Tribolium castaneum: one gene and its partners. The main gene of each other region encodes a partner of the protein of the gene in region 3 in a complex. Links are inferred from orthologs where the notes say so. Each region holds a gene or a part of one and is shown on either strand. Other genes may lie near its edges.

Region 1 (4,806 bases), on a different chromosome or scaffold from region 3:
TACGAGGGCCACTTTCGAGACGTACTATAGGGCCGAAAGGACGAAACAGGCCCGCTTGGTTTTACAGCCGCCCACTAATATGGTAAGTCGGCTGTGACTTGTATCGTGATCGTCTTTTGTTCCCGCAGCACGAGTGTGAAGAGAGCTACCGTGCCTACATTCACGCCGTCCTCGGTTTCTTTATTTTGGAGGATCACGTGTTAAACACCGGGAACGGGCTCATAACCCGCGCCTTCTTGGACGAAATGTGGACGATGGCGTTGTCAAAAATCGTCAGTGCTTTGCAAACACATTCGGTATAATTACCCGAAAAATTTGTTTACTCAATCGGTTATGAAAAAAATTTCAGGCGTATTGTACCGACGCCACCTTGATCCTGCGCATTAAAGACTTGATCATGCTTTTTTGCACGACTTTGCGTAATTATGGTTATTCGGTGAAACCGTTGTGGGAGTTGGTGCGTGAATTACGTGACCATTATACCGAAGTTTTGATGCAGAGATGGGTGCAAGTCTTTCGGGAAATTCTCTCGAAGGAGGATTTTCAGCCGATTCAAGTGTACGATCTCGAGGAGTATGAGCATATTTTGTCGTCGTTTCCATGGGACGAGGACTTGCCCAACGATGTGGTTTTCCCGCACAAGTTCCCCTTTTCGGGGATGGTGCCCAAGGTCTACCAACAAGTCAAGGAGTTTATTTACGCGTGTTTGAAATTCTCCGAGGATTTGAATTTAAGGTTTGGTTGTTGAATAATTCCAATCGAAGTGGGCTGTGACTGAATTGTAGTCAAGTGGAAGTCGACGAAATGATCCGCAAGTCGATGAATTTGCTCCTGACGCGGACGTTTAGCGGTTGTTTGTCGTCAACGTTTCGTAGCCCGCACATCAATCTTCAGGAAATTATCCAAATAATCATCGATACGGGCTATTTGGAGGAAGCCACGGTCTACTTGGACCAGTTTATTTCAAATATTACAGGGTAGGGCACAAAATTAATCCGCCAATAAAAACAAAACATTTAGGGAGGAGTCTCGAGGGGTGTCCACGGGAGTGGTCCAAGGCCAACCAGCCATGTTCCGCGTGGCTCGTGAAGACGCCGTGCGCCAAATTTGCGAAAAATTGCGCCAAAAATTGAACGAGTTTTACGAATTGGAGAGTTATGATTGGCTGTTGGGTGAGCCGTCAGGACACGCCTCTAGTTACATCTCCGATTTGATTGCTTTCCTCCAGACGACGTTTCAGAGTTTCACCAATTTACCGGTTTGTTGATTGGTTTTGTTGATTTTTTATCGAGTGATTTGTAGCCGGAGGTGGCGCAAGTTGCGTGTAAGTCGGCGTGTGAACACATTGCCAATTCGATGTTTCAACTGTTGATGAATGACGAGATCAAGCAAATTTCCATGGGGGCCTTAAACCAAATCAATTTAGATTTACTACAGTGTGAACGTAATTAATCGAAAAATGATAACCGGAAATTTAAACAAGTTTTACAGAATTTGCGGCCTCTGAGCCCGTCAAAGGCCTACAAGAGGACGTCCTCTTGTCGTATTTTACCAAACTACGGGAGACTTTAGACCTGTTCACGTCATGGGACTGGCCCACTTATTTCCACGACTATGGGCAAGAAACCAGCAAATATAAGCAAGTCAATCCAGATGATGCGATAGTATTGCTCGAAAAGTAACAAATCGGGTTATTAAACCACAAGTTAATTGATTCTTGTAGATTGAAAGAAGGCGATAAGAAAACTATGTTCACAGTATTGAAAAAGAACGAAAGAGACAAGAAGAAGTTACTGGAAACGGTCCTAAAACAACTGAGACAGCTGACCCAAATAACGCCCAACAAATAACCGACTTGTTGAATTAAATAATAAATTTTATTAATTATTCGGTGTTTTAATTTTTGTGGCCAACTTGGCCACCAAATTTAAAAAAGTAACAACTTGGCGTTTGCGCATGCGCATTGCCAACATAACCATCAAATTTGCGGTGTGGTTTTTCCCCTTAAAACAGTTAAAAATTGCAAAAAACCGTGAACTAACTGTAGAAAAATGCAAGTGCCCCCTGTCTTTATCGACGTGAGTCCCGAGGACCAGGTAGGCGCCCATTTGTGGCATTTTGTGTCCATATGACACTTTGAGGTTATGTTTTAGGCGCAAGAGCTCCGCATTTACTTAAAAAGTTTAGGCGCTGAAATTTCGGAGGAAAAATCAGTCAAGGGCATCGAAGACGACCTACACAAAATAATCGGCGTATGCGAGGCCTGTTTCAAGGAGGGCCAGGAGCCCGAAGTTGAGATGGTGCTCAACGACATTGTCTCAATCATGGTGCTTGTAAGTGTCTCGAATCATTTGCGCGTGGTATTGGACGTGTTTTAGATCCCGGCCGACCGGTCCGAGAACATCATCCTGGCCTTTTGCCAGAAGCTGCTCAAGGCTCAGGGCCCCAAACTGGGGCTGGTGTGCCTGCGCGCCTTGTGGCTGCTGTTCCAGTCGCTTGACGAGACGTCCCCCATGCGCTACCACGTCTACTACCACTTGATTTTAATTGCGGAGAAAACGGACCAGGTCAAGTCGGTGTTCCAGGATATCGAGCATTTGAAGCAACAGTTCGCCCCGTGTCCACCGACAAGCGAGCAGTTGCAGATTCTGTACCGGTTGTTGCACCAGGTGCTGCTAAAGAGCAACCACAGTGAGCAGGCTGCCAAGGTCATGATCGAACTTTTGGGGACCTACACCGATAAGAACGCCTCGCATGCCCGCGAGGACGCGATCAAGTGCATCGTCTCGGCCCTGGGGGACCCCAACACCTTCCTCCTCGACCCCTTACTGGCCCTAAAGCCGGTCAAATTTCTCGAAGGGGAGCTAATCCACGACTTGCTTAATATCTTTGTCAGCGAAAATTTGGCAACGTATTTGAAATTCTACCAAGAACACAAGGAGTTTGTCACGTCGCAGGGGTTGAACCACGAGAAGAACATGCAAAAGATGCGGTTGTTGTCCTTCATGCAACTCGCTGAGACCAACCCGGAGATCAGTTTTGACGTGATTGAGAGAGAGTTGCAGATCAAGGCTGAGGAGGTCGAGGCGTTTATTATCGAAGTCTTGAAGACTAAACTGGTGAGGGCCCGCATGGACCAAGCCGCTCGGAAAGTCTACGTCTCAAGCACCATGCATAGGACTTTTGGGCGCGCCCAGTGGCAACAATTGAGGGATTTGCTCCACTCGTGGAAAAGCAACCTCAGCATGGTCCAGGAAGGGATGAAGAACGTCACAGCGGCACAGCTCGAAATGTTGAACCAACAATAATTGTTTTGTAGCGATTAATTTAAGAATAAAAATTTTGGAACTAGTTGGGGATTTTTATTTTAATACCACGTCAAGTAACTAACTAAATTTGCTGCTTAAACTACGAAAATTACATTATTGCGCCCCATAATTTAATGTGGGGGTTTCACCCGCCACGTGTCGCACGTTCCTTGCCCCCAATCGGGGTCAAGAGCCGCCGGTGCCGTTTCATGTTGGCAGCACTGTGTGGTGTTGTGGCCGCTGATTCCGATTTTGTGGGAATTCCGTGCCTTCTTCTGATGCAATCACAGTTTAATTTCCGCTAGATAACACCGAAGAGTGCGTTTTGGTGTTGGTGTGTTAAATAATTGCAAATTTGGTGGTTGGAGTTAGGTTATGTCGAAACGTGTGCAGCCCCCGTGGTCGGCGCCGGAGGCGTCTGGCGGTCCGGTCCTGAAAGTGTTCAATAGTCTGACGCGTCAGAAGGAGGTGTTTAGGCCGATTTCGGGCAAAAAAGTGACTTGGTACAGTTGCGGGCCGACTGTTTACGACGCCTCGCACATGGGGCACGCCAGATCGTACATAACTTTTGATATTTTGAGGCGCGTCCTTGCCGATTATTTCGGTTATGATATTTTTTTCGTGATGAATATTACGGATATTGACGATAAAATCATAAAAAGGGCGCGTCAGAACTACTTGTTTGAGAGGTATGTTGGGGAGGAGAGGTCGTTACAGGAGGTTTTAAGTGACGCAAAGTTGGTATGGTTGTTTGTATTTTGTGGTGGTCACATTGTAACGGGGGTTTACAGGTTTTGGAGAAATTGGCTGAGACCACACAAAATGCCTTTGATCCCGATAAGAAACAAATGTATGAGAAACTTCTAGTCAAGTAAGCTATTTTGGCATTTTTTGTATATAGATGATTAAATTAATTTTTCAACTAGTCTCACTAAATCGGTTGAAGAATTGGAAAATGCGGTCAAAAGTGGTGATAATACGAAAATTGAAAACGCAAAGAAAAATTACATAGTGCGGAGTAAAGACCCACTGTCTGATTGGCTGGATTGTAAATTTGGGGCCACAATTACAGACAATGCGATTTTTACGTCATTACCACAGCACTGGGAACAAGAATTTCACAAAGACATGGAGGCTCTAAATGTACGTATTTTCGCAGCAAAAGTTGTACAAGTGCTACTTTTTGTCCGAATACAGGACAAGGTTTAGAGAAGAACGAGTGAGAAAATAATTTTGGTCAAAACCGCATCTCGCTATCGTCTTTTGTTTTCGACTTAAACAAAAGTTGACGTTTTAGCGAAATCTTAAAAATATCATATTTTCTTTATTATTAAACATTTACATTTGAAACAAAGACTTTATAAAGGCATTTTTTACAGAGAATCTAATGTTATTAGCGATTTTTTTCAAAAATTCGTTTAATTGTAATAACATGAAGTTATATTTTTTTAAATAGGAATCATAGTTGGCTGTGACAATTTCGAAAAGATTATTTTTT
Region 2 (4,936 bases), on a different chromosome or scaffold from region 3:
CAGAACAATGGGTACAGTTACTGGTTGTCTACGACAGAGCCAATGCCGGCAATGATGACACCCATCCCAGCACCAGAAGTCAGACGCTATATTTCAAGGTATGAACGAACATATTCTATTTTTGTACATTTTTAACCGTTTTGCTTTCAGATGCTCCGTTTGCGAATCTGTCACACGTGTCATCGCCGTCCACAGTCAATCGACAACCATCCCACAGTGTCCCAACGGCTGGGACGAACTCTGGGCCGGATACAGCTTCCTTATGGTAACTCTCTTCACCCCCTCGAACCCACATTTGTTTAACATATATTGCAGCACGTGGACGCCGGTGCCGAAGGCTCAGGCCAATCCCTCGTCTCCCCCGGCTCATGCCTCGAAGAGTTCCGCCCCAAACCCTTCATCGAATGCCACGGTCACGGCCGCTGCAACTACTACACCACCATCCTGTCCTACTGGCTGGCCACCATAGAGGATTCAGCCATGTTCCAAAAACCGCGTTCGGAGACTCTCAAAGCCGGCTATTTGACCTCAAGAGTCAGCAGATGCGCCGTTTGCATCCGCAGACGGTACACCAGTCGCACTGCAATTGTCACCCCTAGTCGAATCACAAGACCCACATACGGGACCCCGTATCGGCCCCCAGGCTATCCACCAGGAAGTTACAGGAACTTGGAAGAGAATAGGAGGAGGCGTTTGAGGCAGAGATTGAGACACAGGAGACCGCAAAATACGCCGTGATCGACGTGCCATAACAGTTATTAACTTTGTAATTATGTGTAAATTAATTGTAACATAGATTTGATGTTAACATTTGTCCTTGAGAAGGAACGTACGCCGTGTTCAAACACAAATCCTATTAGAATATTTTTTACTTGTAAGGATTTAGGTTCTTAATTTTATTTAAGCGATTACGACAGTGGCTCTTTGTATAGAATTTATTTTTTTAATACTTGAATTCTTGCTTGTTTTTGATCTTTTTTATCTCAAAGGTGCTAATTAGTTTTAAGGCTTACGACAGGAAAATGTGATTCATATTTTATGTGCCTTTCTATTAAACACTGCCAAATGATTTTGTAATGTAACAAATGAATAAATCATAAAAACGATGAGTTTTTGGGTTTTATTAGGTATCAAATAAGAAGACAATTTCTTTATGTACAACTTTTACTTATCACAAATCTAGTTATTTATAAATCATACATTCAAACATACTGAACGCTGTGTGATAGTGACCAGACAAAAAATTATAGAATGACACTACCAGACTCACAACAAATTTAAAAAAGAACAATCTGATAACAAAACAATCATTTTCGAAATTTATAGTAACTTTACTTCGGGAATCCGTTGCTCAGTTCAATTTTGCTGTCAGTGAACTGCATATGATTATCGATGATTTGGAAAAGCTCTGCAGGTTGTGGTATCCTGCCCGTCTCCAGTTTGGACCAAACAGGAACGTCATTCAGTGAGATTTCAAAAGCCCCCGATTGAATCAACTGTCCTTCGATAATATTACACACAAAGAACAGCATCATGCAAGCATAAAGCTTGTTTTCTGTGCACCAAATCCACCATGAAGGCTGTGGTTGGTTAATGTATTCAAATATGTTAATAGCCCCCAAAATACACACGATTATCACCATTTTAACGATGCCCTGAAAACGCATAATCATCAACTTTCACTCATTATATCATACTTACAATAAGTCTGGCCAAATACATGTTCAAGCCTGGGGGGTCGTAATTTTGGCCATCAACGGCTATAAAAGGGTATTTGTCCCCAACGATTTTTACGTACTGCTCGAACGTTTTCCGGTAACCACACGAATAACTAAATTAAATAATTAGATTATGATATTGGGGCTAGGGGAACATACCAATACAAAAATTTTAAGGTTGGGGCCCCAACATTTTGACTTAGCTTCGACGGGAGGACGTCTTCAGCTGCTACGTTACCGTTTGATTCGAGAAAACACAGCCCCGCAAACACCACTAAATACCAAAAACATGATATTTGTCTTAAACCAGCCATTTATTTTGCTTTCTAATGCTCTCGTCAGCTGATAAATTTCCAATGACAGGTGGGACTGGTGGAAACGTAGGGGAATTTAGACACCGACTAGATCAGCCTAAAACACTAATATAATAATTATTTCACGTCCAAAAAACACGAGATTGTGTTAGCTGCTACAAAATTTGGTAACAAACAACGTAATCGTTAAATAAGGCCATTATCGGCTGGCAATTTTTACGAAAATTGTGTTTTTGTAGCAATTGTGGAGTTTTTGTTTGCGCTACATTGGCAGGTATTTTTGGCAGTTTAAAATGGCGTCTCGTGGGGCTGCTTCGAGGCGTGTGCCTGAAAATGACTCGACGATTGCTTACGTGCAAGCCGACGGCTTGGTAAATATCCCTTCAGTTTATTTAAACCCAAAAGTCACACTTTGGCTACCTCAGTTAGTAATTAATACCTAACATACGGAACCTAACCTCTTTCAGGCCGTCATGAAGATCGTAAAACACTGCCATGAGGAATCGACCACTAACATGGACATAGCCCAGGGGGCCCTTCTCGGCCTTGTCGTTGAAAACCGGCTGGAAATCACGAATTGTTTCCCATTCCCGAAACAAACCGACGAGACAATGGACGAGGACGAGTACCAGCTAGCGATGATGCGGCGCCTGCGACGCGTCAACGTCGACCACTTCCATGTGGGGTGGTACCAAAGCGCCGACGTCGGGAACTTCCTCAGCCTCCCTCTTCTCGAATCGCAATTCCACTACCAAACCTCAATCGAGGAATCCGTCGTTGTGATTTACGACACTCAAAAATCCTCGCGCGGGTTCCTCACACTTAAAGCCTACCGTTTGACGCCTCAAGCCATTGAGATGTACAAGGAGGGCGAATTCACGCCCGAGGCCCTCTTGAAGCTCAAAGTCGGATACGAGAACCTCTTCATCGAGGTCCCCTTCGTTATTAAAAACTCCGCCTTGACCAACATCATGATGTCCGAATTGCAAGAACTTGTCCCGGAAGAAGAAGGCTCGAAATTTTTAGATTTGGGAACCGCCTCCGTCCTCGAGGGGCAATTGCGCTGCCTCATGGACCGAGTTGACGAACTCAACCAAGAAGCGATCAAGTTTAATAGATACCAACAGTTGGTCAGCCGGCAACAGCAAGACAAACACAGATATTTGCAAAAGAGGGCGCAGGAAAATGCGGCTAGGGCCGCGAAAGACGAGCCCCCATTGCCCGAAGAGGACATTAATAAGCTGTTTAGGCCACATCCGGTGCCCCCGAGGCTGAACCCGATGATTATCGCGGGACAGATTAATACGTATAGTCAGGCCATTTCCCAGTTGTGCTCGCAGAGTTTGGCTAAGTTGTATATTACGCAAGCGTTGCAGAACGCCAAGGAGGCGAATTCTAATCCTTGAACTGTTTTGTTACGTTGTTTTACAATAAAATAATATACAATGAGTTTGGGTTTTATTTAAACCAGGCGTAATAAAGCTTAATTGGCGCAGTCAGTAGGTTTTGTGGTGGCGTCTCTTCTGTGAAATTTCTACGTTTGAACGTTTAATCATCCCCTTAAAAAATGGTACTAAACCAACAGTGGAGAAAGTCATATTCGCAACCTTTTCATCGTTTATGTTGATTTTGTTGTTTTTTGATTGAAATAAAGGACACAGCTTTTAAAAAATAATGTATTCAATTGCCCTAAACATCAATTTAGTCATTACAGTCTTACGAACCTAAAGAAATGAATTTTATTTATTTACATTTCTATTGCACAAACTGGCCAAAATGTACACACTTTTTTGTGCAACTTTCTCAAACTCATACAAACCAATAACAAACAACACACGAAAAACAACAACAAAACAAGACTAGATAATCAATCACAATAAATCGTTTCGTATTACGCTATTAGCAGTTCAATCAATAAGAAAAATCGTGTCATGAGTATAAAAATGTTGATTAATTCATTTGAAAAAATTCCCCATTTTACATTGATAAAATAGCTTAACACTACGACTAGACTCTAGGTAACATTCACCACTGGCGTCGTCCCATTTATCGTATTTACAGAATTTTAAAATGGCACATGGACAAATCCACGGTTTTACATTTCTATACACACGTACCGAGAAAACCTTTTGGTACAAATACATATACAGTGTGGACCAACAATAAAAGTATTTAGTTTGCCTTTTATTTATCCACGTGATTCACTTGTCGAATCAAACGCCTACATATTCCCGACATTAATCGAAATCGTGTTGTGATTGACGGGTTTGAACGGCTCAACACTGTCAACAATCGCCTCAGCCAAATAACTCCTAATTTTAGTCGGAACGAACAATTTTTCCAAATCCTGCTTACTCCTAATCCTCTTGACGATCACCGCCCTGCACCTGTCCTGCAAATTGACGAAGTCCCTCTTCATCGAATCCAGATACATCTCAGTCTTGGCGGCCGTGGAGCAAATAATGGGGTAAAGGGGCTCCTTGACCTCGTTGAGCCCCCGGAAGGCCACCCCCAGGTACTTCTCGTCCTTGTAGTAGCTCAGCGTGCCGGCGATGCCGTCGAAGAGCACGCCGATCTTGGTGGCCATGTTCTCCCGGAAGGGCTTGGTGTAGTGCGTCCAGCGGCCGCCGTGCCACAGCAGCCCCTTGTGCGACAGCCCCCAGCCGTGGTCGTCTTCGCCGAGCAGGTTGGTGAAGGAGTCGGCGTGCAGGCGCGCCTTCTTGGTGCCGATGCCGAACATCATGCTGGTGCCGAAGATGCGCCGCGAGATGTGCAGCTCCCAGAAGTAGCGGCCGTTGTTCAGCACCCGGGTGCCCCGCACGCCGGCCGTGCCGCTGCTCCAGTTGGGGTGGAAGTGCGCGATGCGGAAGTTGTTGCCGTAGAGCCGGACCTCGGGGCTGCGCT
Region 3 (5,677 bases):
AATTAACTGAAGTAGCAGTGGCAGTTATTTGAAATATTTAAACCATTGTAATAACAGCAAGTGAAAGCTCACTTTTCAACATTGTAATTAGGAATAAAATTAATTTACTACCTAAGAAATTTTACTGTCAGTTATCATAAATAACACGAGATTTCTATTTTCAGATAACATTTTTATCACTTTTATCCGACTTTTATCGAGACTAACTACAAAAGAATTTGAACTCAAGGCATTTTATTTAATTTACAAAGGATAAGGTTTAATAATTGCAATTTTACTCGTTTATTATTAAAATTATTTGGTTTTGCTTAAACCGGATGGATTTTTTGTATCAATACGTTGCAGGGGAGACCCGGACAAAGCCGACCTCTTCGGCAACACGGCCCTGCACTTGGCCGCGGCGCAGGGCCACAAACACATCGTCACATTCCTAGTCAATTTCGGAGCCAACATTTACTCGACTGATATCGACGGCCGCACCGCCCAAGAACTCGCCGGAATGAACAACCGCGACGACATCCTGCGGTTCTTGGACGGCGTCCACGCCAAACTGGAGGCCGGCGACAAAAAGAAAGCCAAAGCACTCAAAGAAAAAGCAAAGAAAGAGTCAGAAAAACGCATCAAAGTAAAACACGGCCCCGTCGAGAGAAACCAATCGTTTCACTTTCTTTTCAGGAATTCAACAAACGCCAAGTCAAAAAAGAGCAAGTTCAAGAGAAGCTGGAGAAACGTATGAACAAAGGTCACCACAGGCCGTCGATGATAGAGACGCTCAAAACCAGAATTAAAAGTGGGTCCATGTCGAACTTGTCGAATCTGGGGCCGGCCCCTCCGAGGTTCAGCACCATCGTGGGCAACGGGACCGTTTCCGGGATGCGGAATTTGGGGTCGGTGCAGAAGCGGGTGCTCGCCAGCCGAACAACGCGGCCTGGCTTCGACGACGACTTCAAGGTGCTCCCGAGAGTAAATAAGCATTTATTTGAAAAACTCGTTCCAGATTAGTGAAATTGAAGACGGCAAACGCTCAGTCAGATCACTAACGGGGTATCGGCGAGACTCTGAGGTACTTTACACGGGGACCATCGATGGCAGGAGAGGCCGTCTGGAATCGGTCTTCAACGAAGCTGAGTACATAGAGTCGTCTCCGCCGCCACCACCGTCCAGCAACGGCCTCACAAGGTCCATCTCCCAGCCTGACTTCATGCACGAATTGGAAACAAACGGCGACACTAAACTCCAACAAGAACCAGCGAGTATTTTCGTGCGCCCAGGAATTGGAAGCATAGCGTTCCGGTAACAAATAATCAATATGCGAAAGCACAAAAACACGTTTTTTATTTAGAAAGAGCATAACCAACACATTCCAAGGCTTCTACTCCAGCGAAGGCCCCAACGAGGAGAGTTCAATCGGGTCAGGGGAAAGCTACGGCCCCAGAACCAACACTCTATCAATCGAAGACGAGTTATCAGACCCCGAGTCCAGCGACGACGATAACCCGAACGCTCCCCTGGAACGCTTCTTGACCGCCTGGGGGCTAGGAGAGTACCTTCCCCGCTTCGAGGAGCAGAAAATCGACCTGGAAACGCTGATGATACTGACAGAAAACGATCTCCAAAGCCTGAACTTGCCCCTAGGGCCGTACAGGAAACTTGTGACCGCTGTCAGCGAACGCAAAGCCGCGCTGGAGAATCCGGGCGAAGTCACAGACAGCATGTTGTAAATATGGAGTCAAAATGTGTTATTTATTCATTGTCGTGGACATGATAACGGTATTGCTTGTATTTTATGGGCACTTTTTGTACAGATGTGTGCCAGGCATAATATTTACAAATTCGTATTTAAATTTATTATAAATAAATGTGTGTTATGCAAATGCGAGCTTATTAAACCCACTCCTTATCAGTGTTCTCTTTGCTGAGAGAAATCTGATGTCATCGTCAATACGCAATAATAGGGGACGTAAAATATACTACGAAAAAGTGAAGTTACGTGTAGAAGAATTTGAATTCAATACAAATTTTTGCGCTGTTGCGTTCTTTGTGATGGCAATGAGTTTTTATGCAAAATAAAGTTAGTGAGACACCAAAATAGAAAAAAATAATGCCTTATTGCCATTAGAGCTTATTTTCTTGCTGTTTTTCCAAGTTAAATATTAGTTATTAACAATGCAATAAATCAATTAGGTTGTAATGGAAAAAATTTAATTTAAAATTAATTGGAAACCCAAGAGTGAAGGATTTTTAACAGGATTCCATTATTATTTAGCATCGCCAACTTACATCAAATGTCGCTGCGGATCAGGGTGACAATTTTTTTCTGAAAAAAAGTGTAGAAAAGGTAAGTGAAACAACACGTAAACAAAAATTAGAGAATTAAATTGAAAAAAAAGTGGATGAAAATGTTTTCTCAAGCGCAGCGACATTTGATGTAAGTTGGCCATGTTATTTTGATTTCAAAAGCGCCGAATTTCAAAAACTGTCGATTGTCAGAATCTGCGCGCGCACATTTCTTTTTGCCAAGTGTTGTGCACAACTCGCGGTTTCTGCTTCAACATATTGAATTGAACACTTCCTAACTTCTGAAAGCAAGTCAAATGACTATGACTGATGGTCAATCAGCGGGTGAGGTCCCCAAATTCGTGGCCCCCGTAATCCAGGACAACCCGACTGGATGGGGGCCCTGCGAGCTGCCCGACCAGTTCAAAGATATGCCGTACCAGCCCTTCAGCAAAGGCGACCGTCTCGGCAAAATCAGCGACTGGACGGGGGCCGCCTTCCAAGACAAGAAATATGCCAGTTAGTCTGACATTGACACATGTCAAATTTGAGGTTAAGTGACTTATTTTTCGCAATTTTAGACAAGTATGCGTCCCAGTTCGGTTCTGGCAGTCAATACGCGTATTATCATGACGAAGACGAGAGCACTTTTCATTTGGTGGACACAACACGCGTCCAGAAGCCCCCCTATCAACGGGGGCGCTTCCGCGCGAACCAGCGCAACTTGCGCGGGCGTGGCGGCCGTGCTGGGGTGCAAGGCAGCGGCATGCAGTCCCTCGGGAAGGGGGTTAAAGCCAGGGACACGTATAAGAGGAGCCAGGTTAAGAAATGGGGACAAGGACGGGTAAGATCTCGCTTGAGTTTTACCGCAATATAGTTGGCGGTTTTAGCCCCAGATTAAGATCAGGGACGCTTCGGTTACGGTCAAACCGGATTGGGTCACCATTGAGGAAATGGATTTCCCTCGGTTGGGAAAATTGTCGCTCCCTAACGTCAAAGACGGTTGGTTTAATTAAGCAATGCGAATTTTTCTATTTTGGTTTTTAGGCGAGGATATTACTTGTTGTGGCGAGTTGGAGTACTATGACAAGTCGTACGATCGTGTCAACGTGAAGAATGAGAAGCCGCTGCAAAGCGTCAATCGTATCTTCCATACAGTGGGTTATTTTTAATATCATTGATGGCAAAAAATTAAAATTAATTATCCTCAGGTTACAACAACTGATGATCCGATTATCCGTAAGTTGAGTAAAACGGAGGGCAATGTGTACGCCACTGATGCGATCCTTGCGACCATCATGTGCTGCACTCGCTCGAATTATTCCTGGGACATCGTGATTGAAAAAATTGGTACTGTGCCCTTACAAGTGTAACAAATCTCAAACAAAATTTTTCAGGCGATAAACTCTTCTTTGATAAGCGTGACAATACGGAGTTTGATCTTTTAACCGTCAACGAAACGTCCGTGGAGCCCCCACAAGACGACGGCAACTCCTTAAACTCCCCTCGAAACCTGGCCTTGGAAGCCACTTTCATTAACCACAATTTCAGTCAACAGGTATTAAGAACAGGTACCGGGGAGCCCCGCTTCAAGTTCGACAACCCAAACCCTTTTATCTCCGAGGAGGAGGAAGGGGAGGTCGCCAGTGTGGCCTACAGATACCGCAAATATGACCTAGGGAGCGGAATAGTAATTTTTTCGTTTTGTTTCTGTCCACGTTTAATTTGTGTAGTTTTTGGTTGTCCGTTGCGAACACGATGCCGTGGTCCAGTCCCCGAATGGCGAGCTCCAATTCCTGTCAATCAAGGCCTTGAACGAATGGGATTCCAAATTGGCCAATGGGGTGGAGTGGCGCCAGAAACTGGACACCCAGAGAGGCGCCGTTTTGGCCAATGAGCTGCGTAATAACGCCTGCAAGCTGGCCAAATGGACCGTTCAGGCGTTGCTGGCTGGCAGCGACCAAATTAAATTCGGTTATGTTTCCCGGGCCCATGTCAGGGATAACAGCAAGCATGTTATTCTGGGTACACAGCAGTATAAGCCGCACGAGTTTGCCACTCAGATTAATCTGAATATGGATAATGCGTGGGGGATTCTGCGGTGTATTATTGACATTGTTATGAAACAGAAGGATGGGAAGTATTTGATTATGAAAGATCCGAATAAGCCGATGATCCGGTTGTACGATATTCCGGATAATACGTTCGAATCGGACGGGGAGTCGGAGTCGGAGGATGAGGTGCCCCCTGATTCCGTGACTTTCCAGACCCTTTATCCATACACCAACAGTGCGAAACGCTAGATTTTGTATTTTTATCATGTATTAGCGAAAGGCCGAAATAAAATGATCAATAAATAATAATTTGCAGTTAATTCTCGTGCATAGTATTAACCAACAAGTGAAAAAAAAATAAAACGGACTCTTGTCGTGTAGCAGCAGCAAGGTGCATTTGCTCACGCATTTTTTAATTTTTTTCAACAAAGAAAGTAAAGCTGTCGTATTCACAACAAAAGAAAAATAAAGGTAAGTGCATTATTCTATTTTGTTGCGGATTTACTTTATTAGGTTTAGAATTTACTTATTCAAGATTATCAGCACATTTTTATGACGTAAGATGTCATATTATCGTATGATTCATTCTTTTTTTGTTAATACGTTCCAACATTCAATAACTAAATCAAATTAACAGTTTTATTTTTACTCGAACCCACACAATTTGAGATGTTGAAAAGTTATAATCGTTTGAGTGCAACATTTTACAACAGATTAACTACTTTATAAAATTTTCAAACTAATTTGATGACATTTGAGTTTATGATGTCGTAAAGTGTATTTTTTCAATTGCTCATCTCCAAGTGGGATTGAATATGTGATACAATTAACATATTGTAAGTGAAATGTGGAATGGTAGGTATAATAATGACATAATATTAACTTGGTTTTTATTTATTTGCAATACCTTATTGCTACATATTGTAGCGGAAGTAGATGCCATGAAGATAAGTGCACTTTAATAATTTTTTTCATTTTACAAAACATCAGCTTTTTAAACTATTTTTCCCTCGAAACTAATTTGTTATTCTTCCACGAATGAAATAATGGAGGGGGGAAAGGTTTGTTACTTTATTTTTTTTTTTTTTGAATGAACTATATAATTTATTGCCGCACTTATACAATATGTTTGTTATTGTCTTTTCCAATATCTTAAATGTTTTAGTTTTGTTTTTATCAACAACAGGAGCCCTATACCCACAGTAGTTTTCGAAATATTTCACTTATGAATTCACATTGTGGAGTTAAGCGAAATATCTTTCTAATTTTTTCAAACACATTAAGCTGTATTTTGTGAAGTAGCGTTTCCATAAAGACGCATTTGTACCCAAATGAAAAAAATAAAA

What was found. Proteins that work in one complex are often made in the same cells at the same time.
Region 1: eIF3d1 (region 3) and eIF3m share a complex: the UniProt entries of both Drosophila melanogaster proteins name them as parts of the eukaryotic translation initiation factor 3 (eIF-3) complex. The link is inferred for Tribolium castaneum from reciprocal best matches to the Drosophila melanogaster genes eIF3d1 and eIF3m.
Region 2: eIF3d1 (region 3) and eIF3h share a complex: the UniProt entries of both Drosophila melanogaster proteins name them as parts of the eukaryotic translation initiation factor 3 (eIF-3) complex. The link is inferred for Tribolium castaneum from reciprocal best matches to the Drosophila melanogaster genes eIF3d1 and eIF3h.

What each region holds. Positions count from the first base shown.
Region 1 is NC_087400.1:752,840-757,645, reverse strand, and holds eIF3m (eukaryotic translation initiation factor 3 subunit M), read left to right. Parts: upstream 1-1,921; 5' UTR 1,922-2,051; coding exon 2,052-2,096; intron 2,097-2,153; coding exon 2,154-2,333; intron 2,334-2,378; coding exon 2,379-3,308; 3' UTR 3,309-3,351; downstream 3,352-4,806. Other genes in the region: Sec15 (exocyst complex component 6), read left to right, coding at 1-82, 129-296, 350-735, 786-977, 1,021-1,258, 1,303-1,444, 1,492-1,678, 1,724-1,850; CysRS (cysteine--tRNA ligase, cytoplasmic), read left to right, coding at 3,684-4,049, 4,100-4,179, 4,235-4,451. UniProt on the Drosophila melanogaster protein: Component of the eukaryotic translation initiation factor 3 (eIF-3) complex, which is involved in protein synthesis of a specialized repertoire of mRNAs and, together with other initiation factors, stimulates binding of mRNA and methionyl-tRNAi to the 40S ribosome.
Region 2 is NC_087398.1:6,460,002-6,464,937, reverse strand, and holds eIF3h (eukaryotic translation initiation factor 3 subunit H), read left to right. Parts: upstream 1-2,175; 5' UTR 2,176-2,325; coding exon 2,326-2,403; intron 2,404-2,499; coding exon 2,500-3,438; 3' UTR 3,439-3,481; downstream 3,482-4,936. Other genes in the region: vkg (collagen alpha-2(IV) chain), read left to right, coding at 1-98, 151-265, 316-738; SelT (thioredoxin reductase-like selenoprotein T homolog CG3887), read right to left, coding at 1,332-1,655, 1,702-1,831, 1,878-2,032; SP555 (SPRY domain-containing SOCS box protein 3), read right to left, coding at 4,254-4,936. UniProt on the Drosophila melanogaster protein: Component of the eukaryotic translation initiation factor 3 (eIF-3) complex, which is involved in protein synthesis of a specialized repertoire of mRNAs and, together with other initiation factors, stimulates binding of mRNA and methionyl-tRNAi to the 40S ribosome.
Region 3 is NC_087399.1:4,806,743-4,812,419, forward strand, and holds eIF3d1 (eukaryotic initiation factor 3 p66 subunit), read left to right. Parts: upstream 1-2,527; 5' UTR 2,528-2,594; coding exon 2,595-2,796; intron 2,797-2,858; coding exon 2,859-3,121; intron 3,122-3,167; coding exon 3,168-3,279; intron 3,280-3,324; coding exon 3,325-3,434; intron 3,435-3,488; coding exon 3,489-3,627; intron 3,628-3,674; coding exon 3,675-3,967; intron 3,968-4,010; coding exon 4,011-4,580; 3' UTR 4,581-4,637; downstream 4,638-5,677. Other genes in the region: Sans (ankyrin repeat and SAM domain-containing protein 4B), read left to right, coding at 346-625, 676-951, 998-1,293, 1,343-1,721. UniProt on the Drosophila melanogaster protein: mRNA cap-binding component of the eukaryotic translation initiation factor 3 (eIF-3) complex, which is involved in protein synthesis of a specialized repertoire of mRNAs and, together with other initiation factors, stimulates binding of mRNA and methionyl-tRNAi to the 40S ribosome.